2 linked regions of the Arabidopsis thaliana genome follow. The protein of the gene in region 2 interacts with the protein of the main gene of each other region in a biochemical or structural test. Each region holds a gene or a part of one and is shown on either strand. Other genes may lie near its edges.

Region 1 (5,748 bases), 6.5 Mb from region 2:
GAAAATATTAGGCAGATATATTAATTTTTAGCTGTTTCCAACAGTTTTGCTTTTCTAGGATAGTAAGCATTCACATATGTAATGTTTACAAGTTACAATGAGTAAACCATAATGCAAACATTTTAGATGGACCGATTGATTTATGTGTTCTAAACTTCTAAACCTATTGAAATGTACACTCTATTACATGCTATGTGACTCATGATTGTAACAACATGACAACTTTCTCTGAATATTAGTGTAATGTGGCTACACTGACAAGTTATATTCGTTCAGATTAGTAACAGGGTTCTTTGACAAACACATCAAAACGACAAACACCAAACGACAACACGACAAAACAAGATGTCTTTTGTCTACTTGTACAACTTCGAGAATTTGAAAATCGTGTAACCATATCTTGGGCCTCAGCCCAATCCAAATCGTAATATTTTTACCTCTCTCTATTTTATCCATGCCAATCCAAAGAACAATGCTTCTTTGTCAGGAAGTAATTGTTGTTTATTCATGGGGAATCGTTGTCTCGTTTATTGCACAAATTACTATACTACTTGATTCACATTTACCATTTTTATAAGCTGACAAAGCTAATAAAAGCACCAAACAAATAGATTGCAAGTTTACAACAACGAAATGCTAACAAAACTGAAGCGGGCATGTTGAAAAGTCATAATAGTACACACATTTACGTTAATACATTTATAATAAGATGAATCACATAAACAATTTACTTTGATCAACTACTGCTTTTAACTTTAGAATGACCTTTTTGTGCCCTAATATTAGATAATTACCGGACATGGTGTATGCAAATATATATCAAAAGATCAAACTAAGGAACAAGATTCAAATCTCTCTCTTTTCTCTTCCTTACTTGCAATTTCGTTTGCTTTGGTTCTATACAGTGCGTTTCCGCTTCGATCTTTTGCTTCTTCGTTGGCCAACCTCAGGAAGCGGCTTGCTTGTTGTGCTCGAAGCTAACGCTCCTTCACGAGCCTCTTCTTCCTCATCATCAGACCCTTCTTCTGATTCAGACTGAGATTCTTCTACCAATTCAACTGTATCTTTCGCAACCGCCTTGTTCTTCTTGCTGCGCTTCTCTTGCTCTTTTAATTGTCTAAATCTGTTGTGATCCAATATACATTTATCAGAAATAACAAACTTGTAAGAAAAACGCTTCGTATTGAGAGATATAATCTCCACTAGACTCGGGATTCACTTACCTTTCGCCAGCATCGTCAGGCTGAGCAATAGATCTCTTTGCTCGTCCCGCACTTATTATTTTGCTTGCGTTTTCATCCATATTTGGCTTTGCACCACCTAGTTTACGCAGATATACTTGTTGGGCGGTACTAAGTACATTATTTGTGAGCCTAAAACCATAGGATGGTTTAACATAAGCAGTAGCATAATAAAAAGGGAAAAAATAAAACTCAGATCCTACCAATAAACACAGTCATATACAATAATATTGATGTTACAAAATGTAGTCACACTAGATGATTCCTTATCAAACAAGCTTCGTATTCCTCGAAATTCTAACCCGTCTTACGTACATTTTGAGAATGAAGCCATCTAGGTTAATTACTAGAGAAAATCTTTCTTATACTCCATTTAATGAGTAGATCAAGGGCATGGATAAAACAGTTAGATGAGAAGTTTCAAGGAGAGGGAAACCAACCAGTAAATAGATAGTCCTGATGGGACAGACAATGCAAAGTAACCGATCATGAGTGGAAGAAACTTGAAAACAAGAAGCGTATTCTTCTGTGCAGGATCATCAGTCTGACAAAAGAAATTAAATTCGGTTTCAGAACAATCATATCAAATTGTTTAAGTAACAGGAAAAATAAAAGAAACTTGTGTTTATTTCTCACTTGAGGAGGCTTCATAATTTCCATTGACACATACTGGGAGGCAATAAGTAGAACAGGTAGAACAAGATAAGCTACAGTGTCATACCATCCCAATGGTGGATGCCCGTCCTGCACCACCGAACGATATTAGACACCAATTTGATAAAGGTTCATTGCACAGCAAAAGACTCAGTTGTATGAAATTTTTTAGTATAAAGATAAGTATCAAATGAGAAAACGTATTCACATAAAGTTTTTTTCTTCCATTACCACAAACGGAAAAAGCCACGAAATGCCGGATCCACTCTGCCGAGCAGCTATAGATGTTGGTCCACCCAGAGATGGAATCCAAAAGAAACCTTCTGTAAACAATCCCTACAAAAAAAAAGTTTTTAGAACAATTAGTAGTTGAAAGAGACAAACTTATCCGGTCTCTAGCGAAATCAGTAGTTGAAAGAGACATAAGGTATATGTACCTCGTTGGCCACGTTAGAGAGAGCTTGGTATAAACCAATCCAAACTGGTATGGTTGCTAAAGTTGGTAAGCAACCTAACATAAAAAAAACAATAATGTGCATATGTCACCACAATTCAGGAAGGGAATACAAAACTCGTAACTTCTAAAAGAAAGTACCTGCCAACGGATTAACACCAGCTTGTTTATACAATCGCGATGTCTCTAGTTGTATCCTCTCCTATATATCCAAAAACAGAACAAACAAATCAGACTCGTCATCCACAAGTAACTCATTCTCTATCCAAAGAAACTCACCTGATTTCCTGCGTAACGTTGTTGAATCGCTTTGATTTTCGGTTGAAGATTTTGCATCGCTAGTGTTGATTCAACCTAAAGGATTCCAAAACAAAAGCAATGCTCAAAAATTCTCAACCAACATGCCAAAATTGAATCAAAGTGACAAGAGGAGCTGCAAAATTCAACTAATCACACTCACTAACCTGTTGCTTAGTCAAAGGATACGTCGCTGCTTTGACGATAATCGTAAGCAAGATAATCGCAAATCCATAAGCATAAGGTACATGAACCGCTGATAATCCATCCTTCAAAATCTAAAAATCCAAACCAAAAAACTTAAGCTACAAATACAATTTCCAGAATTCTACACACAGAGATCGAAATTAGCAGCTTAAAACTCACCTTAAGAACCAATTCCATAGCATCGGAGATAAAACCAAACCAACCACCACTCTTCTGCACGGCGGATGAATCAGTAGTTACGACGGAATCAGCACCAACAACGGCGGCGTCAGCTATTGTATAGAGAAGAGATTCAGCTCTGGTGAAAATCGCTCCGATGTCTACAGATGAATCCAAGCCATGGAAAGGAGGAATCTCGTTTAAGCTGAATCGTACGGTGGTTGAAGTAGTGAAGAGTTTGTTATTATTACTCCGGTATGGAAGAAATTGAGCGGTTCCTCCTCCTCCTACTCCACTGTGACGGAGAGATGACGACGGTTTAATCAACGGTGAACCGAAGAATGAAGATGGAGACGAGACTAGAACTCTCGCCATTGGAGCTTGAGAGGAGGATGAGAAGAGACGAAGAAGAAGATAGAGATTTTTATTTTTTTATTTTGTAAATTTTTTTCTGGATTTATCTTTTTTTGAAAATAAATTGGAAAATGAAAATGAGAGACGAAGCTGGTGATCGCGCGTGGTGGAGATTACATCCAGTCATAGGAGTCCACGTGGACATGTATCTAACGTGGGATATATCGGTGCTTTTTGTAGTTTGGGCTTATTAGGGCCCATTTTAGAAACAGGCCTGCTTAACTTAATAGGCTTAATTACCAATCCATCAATCTCCAAGCTCAATGCATGGATCACTTCCCCAACACAAAATAAAACTGAAAGCATACAAAATAGAAACCGATTTAGAAAATACTTTATGTAAATACTTTTCTATAAAAATCAAATCTCGAATGCTTTGTGAATGTATGGTAAGCTTTTCCACAAAATATATATAATTGTGAAGAAAAAGCTGCGTACTCTCTTTCAATTAGTTGACATCGAATCTGATTCTCACACCACCACCTTTCTTACTTTTATTTCTTGTCATTATCACTTTCTTTCCACGTTTTATATTATGTAGTTTTTATAAACAAAAAAACAAATGAACTAATCTGAAACATTTATCGAGAACCTATACACAACCCTAAAAAGGTAAGCTTGAGTCATAGGACTTAACTTCCCAAAGCCATAATCCGGTTCCCAAATCTTCATAACTTACGAAATAGTAAGTGATTACAAGGCCTTTAAAGATTAATCCCACAAAGAAAATGTATTTAACACTAGAGCTTGATCGATGTCTATAATGAGTTCAGCCTAAATAATGGTCGTAAATAATGCTCTCTAACGTAAGATAGTTATAAATTACGCTTTGAGTCCCAAGTCTAGTGGAAAAAACAAATGGGATAGAATTTTCATGCTTTTAGGGAATTAAATGTGACCGCAAATGGGACTAAGTAAAATCTTTTGGATAATGATCTCTAGTGTTGTATAGATTTTAGGATCCTAATCTCTCAGTTAATAAGCAAAAAGAACAAGGTTTAAATGTTCATAGAGGGATTCGTTCCTTAATCTCTAGCTCAGATCGATAGCTTCAAAACCTATAATCAATAATCTCTCAATAATTTTTTACCAAAAAAAACAAACCTATAATCACCGGCTCGCTCTAAGTGCACACCCATACGTTTATGTGATGTAATATTCAACAAAACATAGCTAACGTTATGAGTTTTTTTAAGCATCATACTGAATTAAATATCTTCCACATTGTTTTCAAGAATCATCCACCGTTCCTCAATTATATTTCACACGTCACGATCATATATAGACCTATACCAAATACTATATATAGAAATTAAATTTAAAGTTGTTTTGAAAATAATTATATTTGTTATTATTATTTTTCGTTGTGAAATAATTATTTATTTCATAATTTGTTTTTTAACATAAATTTTTGATAGAAATGATGATGTTGTAAGTTTGACAAAAAAAATAAAAAAAATGATGATGTTGTATTTTTTTCTTAATTTTATATGACAACGAACGATTAAGAGTTCGTATTTATTGTTTTATAACATAACGACGTCGACACAGAACTTTCAAGGCTAAACTCACTTTTTGATGGAGACGTAAGAATAATTTATGGGTAATAACTCATTAATTTGTTACTAAATAGAAATTATTTCTCTAAAATGCTTTTCAATTCATATACAAAGGATACATAGGAAAATTATAAAAAGTAATATTTGTATGTACGGACCATCAGAATAATAACGTAATATTTTTTAATCAGGTTGCATATTACCTCGGGCTTCCATTGATTAATGGGTGCATAAGTAATTAAGTAAATTCATATGCAAAGTTAAGAGTGGTACAAATTATAACCGCATATGCGTTCTTTAAAAAAGTAATTATGAAAATTTGTTCGGCAGATGAAGCAAATGATTAGTACACCTATGCCAAATCTTAAAAAATTAGAATGGAAAGCGATATATGAAATTGAACGTAGTCATATTGAATTCGTAATCGAGACTTTCACTATTGTTTTTAAGAATGTTTGGACGAGAAAGAAGCTCATAAAGCAATAAATTAGTTAACGTTCATAATTGAAGCATTGACACCAGGAGAGAAAAAAAGAGCAATTCATTGCTTCCCTAGTAAAAAAAAAAAAAAAAAAAAAAAAAAAAAAAAAAAAAATCAGATATTTGTGGATAAAGAGTTAAAAGAAATTGTTTCGTCATTTTTTTCTGTCATAATTTCGTCAACTTTTTGTTTAACAATATGCATTATATAAATTTTATTAATAATAGTAACACATAGACACGATTGTAGCATAAACCACTAAAATACATGGTTTCAGTGTAT
Region 2 (5,114 bases):
GAGGTTTTTTATAAATTTTATTTTTGTTCTTTTCTTTCTTACAGTTTTTGATCGTTAGCCGATTCCACTAATTTAACTTGTTTTCGCATCGTTTTGTAGATCTAATATACAAATTATTAACATTTTCGAAAAATTTTAAAATTTTTGTTTTTTTTTCTTTTTTATGGTTTTTAACTTTTAATTTGGATATTAGATTTACAAAATAAAATAAAAATTAACCGGATTTTGGATCTTGTCATTTGAAGTCGTATGCCGATACCACTAATTCAACTTGTTTTCACAATGTTTTGTAGAATTAATATACAAGTTTCATATTAATATATTTTCAAAAGTTTTAAATTTTTGTTTTTTATTCTTTCATTTTTACAGTTTTTATTTTTAAATTTGAATATTAATTTTTACAAAATGATATGAAAACTAATCGAATTATGGATCATGTCATTTGACCTTTGCATCGTTTTGTGGATTATATACAAGTTATGAATATTTTTTAAAAAAGTTTCATTTTTTTTTCTTTCTTTTTTACGGTTTTCCTCCCCTCATTGTTCTTTTATCAATCTTTGTAATTCCTTTCAAATACAACATTAACAATATACAAAATAGTAGTGAGACGAGACACAAGCAGTTCCTATGACTCGTTACATTCTTGTGTGATCACTATCAGTGTGCAAACGAGCTTTGTCACATCATTAAAAATCGAAACTTGCATCCATTGCAGAAAAAGCTTGTCAACCTAAGATCTCCAAGAAAATAAGGAATGCTTCCATTTGCATCTCCGGCGAATTCACTGTGAATTTTCCACTTGGCTCTGGCCTGCGTTGAAGATGATAGCTTTTTGAAGAAGACGAGGTTTTATGGCTTAAGAGAATATAGCATTCACAAAAGCCTCCGGATCAAAAGGTTGGAGATCTTCTACAGCTTCTCCTACACCGATAAACTTTACGGGAATGCCCAATTCCTCAACCACACTGACCTGCAAGACATGGAGAACCAGTTTCAATGACAGAGCTAATGAAAAATAAGAGCTTTGAATGAGATCAAAAATTTTATGAGATATTTACCACACAGCCTCCTCTAGCAGAGCCATCTAGTTTCGTCAATATCAAACCGGTGATACCAACAACCTGAAAAAAATGTAACCCAGAAACCTCAAGATTTTACGAAGAAATTCTAGTTTGGGGAGCCAGAATCACTAGGTTTAGGTAGTTTCGTATGGTACCTCGTTGAATTCTCTAGCTTGTGGAAGCATGTTCAAACCAGTGTTTCCATCAAGGACAAGTAGGATCTCCTAACAATTCCGTAAAATATTATTTTTAGCTAACGCATGATCGAAATTGGAGACTAACAGAGTGTAATAATATAAGCAAGATAACAGAATAGGATAAGTAAAAAGGCTCACTCACATTAGGTGCACCAGAGACAATCTTGCCCACTGCTTTTTTGCACGCAATCAACTCCTCCATCAAACTGTAATTAGTATGGAGACCTTACATAAAGAGGTGTAATGTTCCTCAGATTCAGTAAAGACGGTACATAAGCATGTTTTTTAAGTCAGCAAGCAAACTCTTGTATGCTTACGTCCAGATGTGTCGCACAGTACAACATCATAACCTTCCTCCTTCCCCCTTTTCACAGCCTTTGAGAGAACTATTCAGAAACAGAACAAACATGTTAAAGTTGTTTGTGCACCAAACACCGATACTGGCAAGCCAAAATAACAATGCATTGGTTTACCCGTGGCTGCTTTAGCCTTGTCTCCTTCAGCCACAACAATCTCACACCCAGTCCTCTCTGCCCATATCTCTAATTGGTCACTTGCTGCTGCTCTAAATGTATCACCTGCTGCCATTAATACCTATGACAAATCATCGCAGGATTGCTGATGAACATACTGATACTCAATTCTATTTCTACCTACCCTGGCAAAATTTCTCATCACCTATTTGAGCAACCACTTTCTAGTCTCAACTCTCAAGAGAAGAACAAAAAGGATCTAGTTTACATGATATCAAACATGAAAGGTGTACCTTAGTTCCTTCATTTTTCAATCTATGAGCCAGCTTTCCTGAAAAACAAAAGCCAGAATCTTTCACATAAATCTTTCTGTGGCTAAGCCAAAGCAAACCAGCTAGTCATTTGAATTCCCACTCTAAAGCATTAATGCCAATTTCCTTACCAAGAGATGTCGTCTTCCCACCTCCGTTCACTCCAACAATCATTATAACAGCTGGTTTCCTGATACACCATAACATATAACCAGACTTAGAACCACAATCTTTCATAACTCCACTTCAACAGAGCAGAGGCGTGAAAGAATAACAAGTAACACAGCTAAATGAAGAGAACCTAAAACCCAATTGAAGCTCTGTCTTGCTGTTTTTCTTAGCCAGCATCTCCAACACACTTTCCTTCAATGCATCCTACACCATTCAGAAGTACAATCAACTAGCTATAAACCCTAATCCCTAACATAACCACAATTTCGTTCAAATCAACCTTAATCTCGCTTCCTGATTTGAGTTTTCCTGACATGATATCCTCTCTTAGCCTCTCCACAATTCTAACAGTAATCTTCGGTCCAAAATCAGAAACCAAAAGCGCCTACATTGAATTATTCCCACTATTAGGTTTCAGGGAAACTCCATTTGCATCTGAAACCCAGAGAATCAACAATAATTCGAATTAAGATGGCTTTAAAATTAAAAAACCTCTTCCAATTCATCAAGAACTCGGTCTGTTTCAGCAAGATTCCAGAAGAGTAAGAGCTCGTCGATGACTGCTAGATTTTCCCTAGTCTTAGAGAATCCGGAGAAAACTTTCTCCACGTCGCTTTTGGCCTTCTCCTTAATCAACCGACCCAGCCGCGTGAAGAATCCGCTCGGTCCGGCCGAGCACCGGAACCGGGTCATTCGTGGACGAAATTCTCCTCTGAGAGGAAATAATCCGATCCGTTCGGAGGAGAACGGCGATATACGTCCGGCGAGAAACGAGAGGTGAGCAGAAGAAGTTGCCATGGCAGTTGTGCTAGAGAATCTGTGTAAGTTACTGACTTACTGGATAATAATCTTTTTTATACGCTGCGTTTTACGTTTCTATTGTTTCCCAATAATGAACCAATCTGCAAAAAAATGAATAATGAAAAACGCAGCGTTAATGCTTAATTTTTTGAAAACTATTAATTATAATTATAAATAAAAAAAATCCTCAAATACAAATTTGTTTTGTATATAATAGATTACGTCTTTTTATATTCTATCTATCTAGATTACAAGTTTTATCAAGGATATGTTAGTAAATTAGTGAGAGAAAATAGTTAATCATCTACAGTTATCATTTTGAAAACTATAATTAGTTTTATTTGTTTATATACTAATTTCTCTTTCAAAGGTATGTTTATATCTTACTTTGAACGATTTTCAAAGATATTGGAAATTTGAAATCATAAGATTTATCCTCAAACGAGCACAACAAGTAACTAGCAATCATTCAGCTACAATCACATCAACTATTTCATTCATTGATGGCGCCATTAAGCTTTGGTACAAAGTATGTATGTTTTAAAACCTACTACTATATTTGATTTCTTTTTCTTTTGCCTCTATTTCCCGTAGATTTCTCAAATGTCCATAGAACGACTTTAAGACTTGATCCAAAGGATGTAAACAAAGTCCAACAACTTCTTCACACGTGATTCAATTTTAACTCAAAAGTGCATTTGTGGCGAATACTAGTTTGACAATTTATATTTTGTTGGCAAACAATTTATAGGACTTCGCCTATTTTGATTATTATATACACCAAATTTGTTTGCTGAGGACGACCAAAAGTGAAGACTCCAAATTTGTTTCCTTAGGTATAACGTTTAACTTATCTTTTTCTCTTATGTTTCGCATTTGTCGTATATTTGGTACACCAACAGCCGAACACATTCATACAAGCGTCATAAACGTGACATAAGCAAAACGATGTCATGAACGATTAGATGGTATGTGGAAAAATGTTACTAAGACAATTTGCTGGTCTGTTTTCTTTAACGAGTACTTGAAATTACATATGCATGTACTACACAGTTATAGTACATACATGTGTTCCACACAAAAAATATAAATAAATCACAATCTTTTTTCCACAGAATTGATAATGTGGGTTGAGTTTTCCCATCAACGGATCGGATCTCTAAATTCAGTGGTTTAGACCTGACTTTATATATACATATCGTGTAAATTACTTTAGATTTTGGTTTGAGAGTCTCTAATTATAAAAGAAAAAACAAGTGGCCGATTATAAATTTCAAATCTGTTGAATTATCTAATTAACAATTTGCTTATTTTAATAAATATTTTTATTATTTTTGTTTTTGGTAGCCATTTTTAAATTCTATCTTCTTATATTAATAAGCACCGAGAAATACTTGGTGATTATTCTAATTTTTTATATTTTTATATGTATTCGGTCAAAATTTATAGATTTTTAACTCTATTACTCTATATTTAATGACTAGTACATGTTCTCCGTTTTTTGAATATCTGAATTGGCATTCTAAAAAAAAACACTTACAATATTCGTAAACCATACCTTGTAAGTTAGAATTAGCAATTCCATTCCCGCTATCCACCAAAAACGGTATAAGAAAGAACTAGTAGATATTGACCTAGATTGACTGTATACTTTTATCAAGTCAACACGACAACATTGTAGAAAAAGTACTACATAGTTGATATGAGTGCCTAATCCATGTGCCATGAAATAACTGGGCAACAAACAACAAATTTCCAGAAACAGTCTGTAATGATTTATTCATCAGTACTGCAAGCTAAGCCCATCGGTCATCTTGGGTCATATGATAATATACATATAATAATATCTCGCAAAAATACATTATAGAGTGAGCGACCACATCGTTGCAGTTTTAAACTATTGTTAAATATATGAACATTTCCACAGCTATTTAGCTTAGCTCACGACACGATGCTGCTGACATATGTAATTTACAATGTATAGCCATGCATGCATGTGTTTGTTGGCCAAGATTTTTCAGTTTTTACCTTTCCCAGCTATTACCTACATCCACTTTGAATTGGGATAAATCACGTAACTACGACTACAATACCAAT

What was found. The genes of interacting proteins can lie anywhere in the genome.
Region 1: the proteins of CPFTSY (region 2) and ALB3 form a complex in vitro, tested with the Arabidopsis thaliana proteins (one study listed by BioGRID).

What each region holds. Positions count from the first base shown.
Region 1 is NC_003071.7:12,355,772-12,361,519, forward strand, and holds ALB3 (63 kDa inner membrane family protein), read right to left. Parts: upstream 3,798-5,748; 5' UTR 3,388-3,797; coding exon 3,013-3,387; intron 2,925-3,012; coding exon 2,814-2,924; intron 2,704-2,813; coding exon 2,629-2,703; intron 2,552-2,628; coding exon 2,491-2,551; intron 2,407-2,490; coding exon 2,333-2,406; intron 2,232-2,332; coding exon 2,127-2,231; intron 1,986-2,126; coding exon 1,878-1,985; intron 1,786-1,877; coding exon 1,682-1,785; coding exon of another isoform or gene 1,648-1,681; exon of another isoform or gene 1,374-1,647; coding exon 1,224-1,373; intron 1,124-1,223; coding exon 898-1,123; 3' UTR 550-897; downstream 1-549. UniProt on the Arabidopsis thaliana protein: Required for the insertion of some light harvesting chlorophyll-binding proteins (LHCP) into the chloroplast thylakoid membrane.
Region 2 is NC_003071.7:18,849,148-18,854,261, reverse strand, and holds CPFTSY (signal recognition particle receptor protein, chloroplast (FTSY)), read right to left. Parts: upstream 3,175-5,114; 5' UTR 3,015-3,174; coding exon 2,709-3,014; intron 2,602-2,708; coding exon 2,497-2,601; intron 2,421-2,496; coding exon 2,347-2,420; intron 2,236-2,346; coding exon 2,177-2,235; intron 2,066-2,176; coding exon 2,028-2,065; intron 1,856-2,027; coding exon 1,735-1,855; intron 1,648-1,734; coding exon 1,579-1,647; intron 1,487-1,578; coding exon 1,404-1,486; intron 1,289-1,403; coding exon 1,220-1,288; intron 1,125-1,219; coding exon 1,062-1,124; intron 974-1,061; coding exon 860-973; 3' UTR 521-859; downstream 1-520. UniProt on the Arabidopsis thaliana protein: Signal recognition particle receptor protein. Binds GTP specifically. The GTPase activity is inhibited by the N-terminus of the protein until binding to the thylakoid membrane. Activates the GTPase activity of FFC/cpSRP54 when bound to the cpSRP complex.